Linked DNA regions of Mus musculus. The main gene of each other region encodes a partner of the protein of the gene in region 2 in a complex. Links are inferred from orthologs where the notes say so. Each region holds a gene or a part of one and is shown on either strand. Other genes may lie near its edges.

The links.
Region 1: the proteins of Capza2 (region 2) and S100b are in contact, whole or in part, in a crystal structure (PDB 3RM1), measured with the Bos taurus proteins. The link is inferred for Mus musculus from reciprocal best matches to the Homo sapiens genes CAPZA2 and S100B. Residues at the interface, in NP_001013016.1 of Bos taurus: Thr267, Lys268, Ile269, Trp271, Ile274, Leu275; in NP_001029727.1 of Bos taurus: Ile37, His43, Phe44, Leu45, Glu46, Ile48, Lys56, Val57, Thr60, Phe77, Met80, Ile81, Ala84, Cys85, Phe88.

The regions. Positions count from the first base shown.
Region 1 is NC_000076.6:76,252,450-76,256,635, forward strand, and holds the start of S100b (protein S100-B), read left to right. Parts: upstream 1-1,386; 5' UTR 1,387-1,509; intron 1,510-4,186. UniProt on the Homo sapiens protein: Small zinc- and- and calcium-binding protein that is highly expressed in astrocytes and constitutes one of the most abundant soluble proteins in brain.
Region 2 is NC_000072.6:17,663,682-17,667,891, forward strand, and holds the end of Capza2 (F-actin-capping protein subunit alpha-2), read left to right. Parts: intron 1-1,369; coding exon 1,370-1,432; intron 1,433-1,613; coding exon 1,614-1,754; 3' UTR 1,755-3,291; downstream 3,292-4,210. UniProt on the Homo sapiens protein: F-actin-capping proteins bind in a Ca(2+)-independent manner to the fast growing ends of actin filaments (barbed end) thereby blocking the exchange of subunits at these ends.

The DNA.
Region 1 (4,186 bases), on a different chromosome or scaffold from region 2:
TGAGGGAACCTTCCCAGTCATGATTATCATGGTCTCCCTGAGTCTCCCTTTTATTGTCTACTGGGGACTAAGAAGAGTAGGGGACCTAATCTTTGTGAACCAGTGGCTTTGATCTCATGTAGATAAATGGTGAGTTGCCCCCTGTAATAGGGAGGAACCAGAGTAGGAGTTTATACCTCTGCCCCAAAGCTAAGAGACACTGCCCCCTTTCCTCAAGGTGGAGAAGCTTTACTGGAGCCCTAACATGTCTAGTCAACCCCTTGGTCTCTGTGATATTTGGGTGTCTTTTGTCATGTAGCTCTTCCCACAGACACTTGGAACACGAGGGGCAAAGGGAAGTGTGACTAAGCTATCCTCTCTTGCTTGGTCAGCTTGGGCCATTGCTTCTGTGTGATTATTCAAAAGGACTGCTCACTTCTGATTTCTTTTTTTTATTTTTATTTTTAAAAAGATATTATGTATACAGTGTTCTGCTTGCATGTACACCTCTACACTAGAAGGGGGCACCAGACCTCATTATAGATGATTGTGAGCCACCATGTGGTTGCTGGGAATTGAACTCAGGACCTCTGGAAAAGCAGCCAATGCTCTTAACCTCTGAGCCATCTCTCCAGCTCAACTGCTCATTTCTGGGCAAGAGCGCACAATTGATGCCATTTGAAGCTCAGGTGTAGTGCTGCTGAAGATAGGCAGTTAGGAACAGACTGCTTTCTGGGGTCATTTTGTGCCTTGACAAGAGGTGCAACATTTCTTCCCTATGCAAAAAGAGCACAGCACAGGACAGGCATTTCTGGCTCAGACAACTCATAACCTTTGACCAGGGTAGGGAGAGAGAGCCCCAAGACAAGAGCTGGCAGGTCTTTCCCTAGGTGCAACAAGTACTAAGTATGTAACTAACTTACTGCATGCTGGTCCCTGAGAATACTGGGCTCAAAGAGGAGTCTGGGGGTAACCACTACCCAGCATCACCAGCCCCAGCATGGCATACCTGCAGGAGGGGACCAGGAAGCTGGCAGACAAGCAAGATGTTCAAGAGGCCTCCTTAGAAGCCAGTCAGGGCCACACAGTCTCCAGCACTCAGCATGAGAAGTTTCCAGTTCTTGGCTGCAGATTTGCTGTTTAAATCAATTCACCCACGTTGTCTCTCTCCTCTTCCCAACCCCAGCCTTGCCTTTGGAACTGGGCCAATGTTCATGTAATACATTTAAAAGGTGCAGAGAAGCTGACTCTACACTTCCTACCCAACAGACCCGTATTCTTTCTAGATCAAGTCCAGTTGTGGCTGCCCAGTGGATCCCCAGGGTACCACTCAATGGGGCCCTGTATGCAGGCCTGGGTGTCTAACTCCTCCCTATCCTTGGCCCCCATTGGCAGCCTCAGCCTGCAGTGGACTGCGCCAAGCCCACACCCAGTTCTCTCTGCAGGAAGAATAAGAAGCTGTTCTGTCTACACTCCTGTTACTCGGACACTGAAGCCAGAGAGGACTCCAGCAGCAAAGGTGACCAGGAGGTGAGAAAGCCACTGACAGGACCCAAGAGAAAACCTGCTTTTTTCTTTCCTCGGAGGGTGAGGGGTGACAGGGATAGAATGGGAACTGAGCTTTAAGAATTTTTTTTTTTAAGAGACCTTTGGGGACATTTGGTGGCATTTCAGAGCTGCTGATTAGGCTGCCTTTACTGTTTCCTTGTGACTGCGGCTGACACTGACTATGCAGTGTCTGTGTTACAGCGGGGGGATTGTCTTTGGTTTTGTTTTCATTAAACCAGGGAAACCTTAGGCCATAGTTAGAACTTCAGAATGACTGCCGATGTTTTTGGAGATGGCGCACAGTGCGTCTTCTCTGAGTCCTAAGGGAAGGATTTCCTTTCCTGGAATAGGGTTACCCCAAATCTCCAACCGCAGCTCCCCTTTCTTCATGGCAACTTTTCCCGGGGTCCCTGGAGCACCCCTGTGAGCTTTTCCAGTTTTCCTATTCGAAACGCCAAGAGCTACATCTCCAGACACTGCTCAAAAAAGAAAAATCCAAAGCAGTTGAAACTTTTCAAATCATTATGAATTGGGACAGAGAGATGAAGGTTTGGGGGTGGCTCCTGACTTTCCTGTCATCCCTCCTGGGGAAGGGTGGTCTCTGTGGGGACCCCTCACCTTACAGGCAGTGCCATCCCAAGAAGCTCCAGCCCTGTGTTTCTTTATAAAGACTCATCCGTTTGTCTTAGAAGGCAGACAACAAACCAATGCTTCCTTAGTTGAAAGAATAGGGAGATTTTTGAATTTTTAATATAGTCATGAAAAAATAAATTTTTATTTATTTATTTATTTTTTGCCTATGGGATATGGTGTTTCACCATTTACTTTTAAGTCTTAGTCCTTATCCACAAAAAGATCATTTAGCTCTCCCTCCCCCAGCCGTTAGGACTTTGAGCAGTATCAGTATGACACAGAATCTCTGAAGACTTTTTTTTTAAATCAATAACTGTGCTGGGTATGAGCCAACCCTTGGGAGAGTAGAGACAAGGAGATCATTATTTAGAAGAGAATCTGGGGACAGTGAGACCCCCATCTCAATCTAAAAAGGAAAAAGGGCAGATAATTCTGTGCCTGTCCTTCCCTCCCCTCTCCTCCCTCCCCTCCCCATGGGACTAAACATATTTTCTTTCATAAAAAAAAAAGACAAACAAAAACAGTAACCGGGGCTGTTGAGATGGTTCAGTCCAGCATCCACATGGAATTACTGACTGTAATTCCAGTTCCCAGTGATCTAACACCTTCTTCTGGCCTCTGCGGGCACCAGGCATGCACGCTACAGAGACATACCTGTAGGCAAAACACCCAGACACATAGGATTTTCTTTTAGCTAAAAGACCAACAGTAACTAAAAACTCAAGTTAAGAGACTAAGAGAGAATGTTACATTTTGTCTATCTGGGTTGTTCTTCTTATATGAGGTACTTCAGGTGTCTTTGGAAAACATGAACAAACCAAAGAACCAGAGAGCCAATACAGGGCGAAAACCTTCGTTTCTTTTGGGAGATCCTTAATAAAAATGTAAAAAGCTACGAAAGTTGTATTCTAAAATGTAACATGTTCAACATGGAAATGACTTTTGAACCTTTGTTTAATTATGACAGTGCAGGTTCTGGTTTAAGGATCAGAACTCGAGGCTAGGAGCTGCCAAATGTCTCTGCCTAAGAGGCTGGTTTCTAAAATGATCCCAGAGCCACCCTTAATGGCTTAATGTTAATGAAGTTCCTCAGATAATCGAGCGGCCCTCCCTGAATCCCCGGGCTGTGGCTGTGGCATCAGGTGCCCACTGCAAAGGCTGTTTGCTTCTCTCAGGCATGCATGCCTGTTCACAAAGAAGCTGCTGTACTCTGAGGCCAGGCCAATGAAGCAAGCACAGAACTCAGGGCTGGGCCTCCGTCGCCCTGTCAGGATGCCAGGAGAACCATATGACCTTGGAGTACGTGTTTCTGCAAGGTCACTTCACTGGTAGTTTTCAAAAACTTGGTACAGGAATTTTACAGTCTTTATTTTTTATATATATATTTTTGGTTTGTCCCCCATCCCCCCCCAAAAAAACCTCACTCATATTTTATTTATACATCTTAAACTAATATATTAATTCAAATGAAAATAAGCTCTTTGTTAGGGTTTTTATTACTAAGATGAACACCATAACCAAAAAGCAAGTTGGGGAGGAAGGGCCATTCAGCTTTGGCGTCCACATCACAGATCATCATCATAGGGATTCAGGACAGGAACTCAAGCAGGGCAGGATCCCGAGGGCAGGAGCTGGTGATGCAGAGGCCATGGAGGGATGCTGCTTACTGGCTTGCTCAGCCTGCTTTCTTATAGAACCCAGGACCACCAGCCCAGGGATGGCACCACCCACAATGGGCTCAGCCCTCCCTCATCGATCACTACTGAAGAAAATGCTCTATAGCTGGATCTTATGAGGGCGTTTTTCTTAATTGAGGTTCCTGTCTCTGAGAAAGGGCTTTAGCTTGTGCCAAGCTGATATAAAACTAGCCAGAACATTCTTAATCTTGTTCCTCAGAATCTTTTGGAAGTACCTGCATTTTTCCTCCTAACCCCTGATATTATTGCTGTATGAGGAAGCTGTTACTGCATTTTAAAAATGGTTCACTGATAGTGATGTGTGTGTGTGTGTGTGTGCGTGTGTACAG
Region 2 (4,210 bases):
CCAAGCTGAGCCATCTCTATAGCCCCTGTTGGCAATTTCTTAATTACTTATTTGTGCTTTTACTATATTCTAGATGCATGTTTGGGATCACGTCATTTGTAATAATTTCACCTTTTTTAGTTTTTTGTTTGTTTGTTTTTGTTTTTTGAGACACAGTTTCTCTATAAACTCCCTGGTTGAACTGGAACTTGCTTTGTAGACCAAGCTGGCCTCAAACTCACAGAGATCCATCTTCCTTTGCCTCCCAAGTACTAGGATTAAAGACAGGTGCCATTACACCTGGCTCCCTTTTTACCTTTCTGTGTGATGTCTTTCCAGCTTTCTTACACAGTCATTTGCAAAACAAAGCTACTATACTGTCTTACTGTATTCATTTATTTCTTCTATGTGTGCTTTTTATTATTGAAATGGAAACCAATGCCTAAAACAAGGTCATTGAAGATAAGTCCATGACTCTGTACCTAACTTTTTTTTCTAAGATTTGTTTGTTTGTTTGTTTGTTTGTTTATTATGTGTAAGTATAGTGTAGCTGTCTTCAGACACTCCAGAAGAGGAATCAGATCTTGTTACGAATGGTTGTGAGCCAGCATGTGGTTGCTGGGATTTGAACTCAGGACCTTCGGAAGACCAGTAGGTGCTCTTACCTGCTGAGCCATCTCACCAGCCCCTGTACTTAACTTTTAAACAATACTAAATATTTTAAATTCCTTCAAATTCAAGAGCTTTTGTATTTGAATTTTCTTTCTCAAAGTTTTCAACATTCTTTTAGTTGTCTTTGCATCTATTTTCTTGTCAATTTTTTTACTACTACAAATATACTAATAGTGTAATCAGCAGTAACATTTTCCTGTAGATATTTGTGCTTGTATATAAAAGTACTAGTATAAAGTAAATATTAATTTTACAGAGGTATTGACTTTTAAAAAGTTTATGGTTACATTGGACCAGATGCTGCCACCAAAGGAGAAAAATGACAGCTTTTTGACATGGGTTCTTGTAGACACCAGAAGAGGATTTTAGCTACCTCACAGCTAGAATTAATGGTGTTTGTTACTTAGTTCCTAGGATTTATTTTCAAGACAGGGTCTCATTATGTAGCTTTGGCTGTCTTGAACTCACTATATAGATCAAGTTGACCTTGAATTCATAGAGACCCATCTGTCTTTGCCTCTGCACCCCAAGTCTGGGATTAAAGGTATGCACTACCTTGCCTAGCTGCAGTAAGAGCTAAATGGCTTTAAAAATAGTGGGTTAGTGGAAATGCTTTTTTAACATGTATAAGGCCCTTAGTTCAATTCCAGCCATGGAGAAAAAAACTAATTAAAAAATAGAGAGATTTAATTTTCCTTTTTTTTGTTTTTAATTTCAGAATGAGGTGCAAACAGCAAAAGAATTTATAAAGATTGTAGAAGCTGCAGAAAATGAATACCAGGTATGATTTTCTAAAGTATCTGTTCACTGAGGGATGGGTCTTAAGTTCTTTAAGTCCATTTTGTGGGTTTTTTATTTCACTGTTAAACAGTGAGGTGTGCTTCTTAAAGAGTATTCTGAAAATGTCCTGTGTTGTAAGTAGTTGTTTCCTGATTTAAACATCTAACCACTGTTTCTTGTAGACTGCCATCAGTGAGAATTATCAGACGATGTCGGACACTACCTTCAAAGCCTTACGTCGACAGTTGCCAGTGACACGTACTAAGATCGACTGGAACAAGATCCTTAGCTACAAGATTGGCAAAGAGATGCAGAATGCATAAATGAAAATTGCATGAGCAGATTGTTTTAGTGTCTTCGCGTTACAAAAATTATTGCAAAAGTATTCTGAGCTGACAGCTGCCCAGTGAGGTGGGCTGTTGCATCTAAGATCACTGTAATTAAGTAGTGTGGTTAGAGCACAGAGCTTAGCTAATAACCTGTTCCATTTCCTTTGTTCAGAGGGTTGGACATGAGTTTAGATAAGTATCTTACTCTGTTCCTCCTTTCGAAGTCTCTCTCTCTCTCTCTTTCTTTCTCTCTCTCTCTGTTCCTTCTCCTACAATGAAGAGGTGATCCCTCTGGGTCATGTCTAAAGGGTTTGAAATATCTCAAAAGTACCTTCTTTACTGTAACCCTGAAGTTGTCTTTGGCTTGTGAAAGGGGCAGCTTTTGATGTTAGCCCAGGTAGTTTTAGTGGGGTCAGTCAGTAATGGGCACTCTAGTTAAGGTGGTTGATGGACTTAGCCATGTATGCTGCTAAAGAAATTGTCTACCTTTTCCTTTCACCTCTTCCAGCATGGAAGATGGAGATTAGAGGGAGAGCATTTTCTAACGAGTTACGTTAAACCTTCTCAGCAAGGTTATTTAGCTAGCTTAGTGTCTAACTAAACTTTTTTAAAACAAGGCCAAGGTCTGTTGCTGTTTTGAGATTCTGAAATTAAATGAGAATACTTATTTCAGAAATGCATTTAATGCTTTTTTCTTGTGACAGTTATGCAAATTAGCTTGAATTCCATATGTTCCTGAGTTATTTTTATCACAAAGCCACAAGTGTATTATAAGGCAGATTGTAATATATATATAATCCTGAACTCATGAACATGTCTCAGTTGATTCTCCCTCCCCTTGGATTGGAAACTGAATATCAGTGTGACATTAAAATGGCAACATTTGGTATTTATTTGAGTAAAAAAAAAATCACCAGTGAATCATACACTATTTTAAAATACTTTCTTTGTATATTGTCATTCTTAACAAGTTGTAAATTAGAAAATTTGGGAGTCCACATGGTATGCAACTGCATCTTTTGTTCTCCATTTTCCTATGCATCATAAGCATGTTTGTAATACTTTAAAAATATATCTACTGCCACCACAGGAATTCACGCCTCGGTGAATGTTAGCGTTTACTGTAAGGAGTTGGTGGATTTGTGGTTTCATTCAGTAGCTCTGCTGCTTATACTCGAGTGGAATCCATTCCTCACGTACTCCTGCAGACATCTGGGCCTGGAATTTTTTTTTTTTTAAACACCACTTTTACTATGTATAATAAAATATTTCATTAGCTTGAATTGTATAGATTTTTAAAAATTCAATAAGAGCATGTTGTTTAATTTCTTTTTAAAATCACTGTTGGGCTTTGAAAGCATTGCAAATATATGACATTGTGACAGTTTTGGCTAATTTCCTCTTTAGCTTTTAGTCTTGGCATCAGGATTTTTAAGGAAAATGAACTGATAACATTAATTCTATGTCTAGATTTTTAAAACACGTACTTAAATTTTGATGATTCTGAAGTAAATACTAAATAAGTAACTAATTTGGTAAGTTGTGTGAATTGGGCTAGCTAGCATGGGTTTATATCCATGGCAGCCAATTATTTTTACTATTTTCTAGAATATACTTTTGAAAATGTATGCAACTTTTTAAATTGGCATGTGAAACATGAAATTCTTCCAAAATTTCAGGCATGCCAAAACAGTGATTGTACAATTTTAGAGTCTTAATATTTTGTTTATATGAAAGAAGAATGGAGCCATGGGATACCTAAAGCTCAGGTGTAGTTTTAGTGGGAACTGTAGTGGCTGGTCTGGTGCAGGTTAAGTAAGCTGGCATATGGAGGCCAGGAGAGTTGGAGTGAACTTGGGAGGCTCCTACAGTAGTCTGAAAATGCTGGCTTGGACATGAGTGGTAGCTCTAGAGGCAGTATATATAGTGGAAGCTAAGCTTAGTGAGATTTGCTGAAAGCTTGGTTGTGAAACATGAGATGAAGATTTTATTTTATTGTTATTATTCTTTAATCTTTTTTTACAGTCCAGTCATTATCCCTCTCTCGGCTCACCCACAGTTCCTCATCCCATTCCTCCTCCTCCCCCATCTCCAAGAGGATGGCCCCACCCCATCCCCACCCCACCCCCATCCCACCAGACCTGCCCACTCCCTGGGCCCTCAAGTCTCCTGAGGGTTATGTGCATCTTCTCTCACTGAGGCCAGGCCAGGCAGTCCTCTGCTGTATGTGTGTCGGGCCCCATATCAGCTGGTGTGTGCTGCCTGCTCAGTATTTGAGAGGAGATGATGATATTTTGAGCTTGAGGAATTAGGAATAGTTTGAAAGGAACAGGCAGGTAGGTGTTCAGGAGCAGGAGGATGGCCAGAAAAAATTGGTTTTAGATTTCACAGGAAATGGGTAGCAGAGAAAGGAACCAGGAAATAAATGCTGTGCATCAGAAGAATGGGGA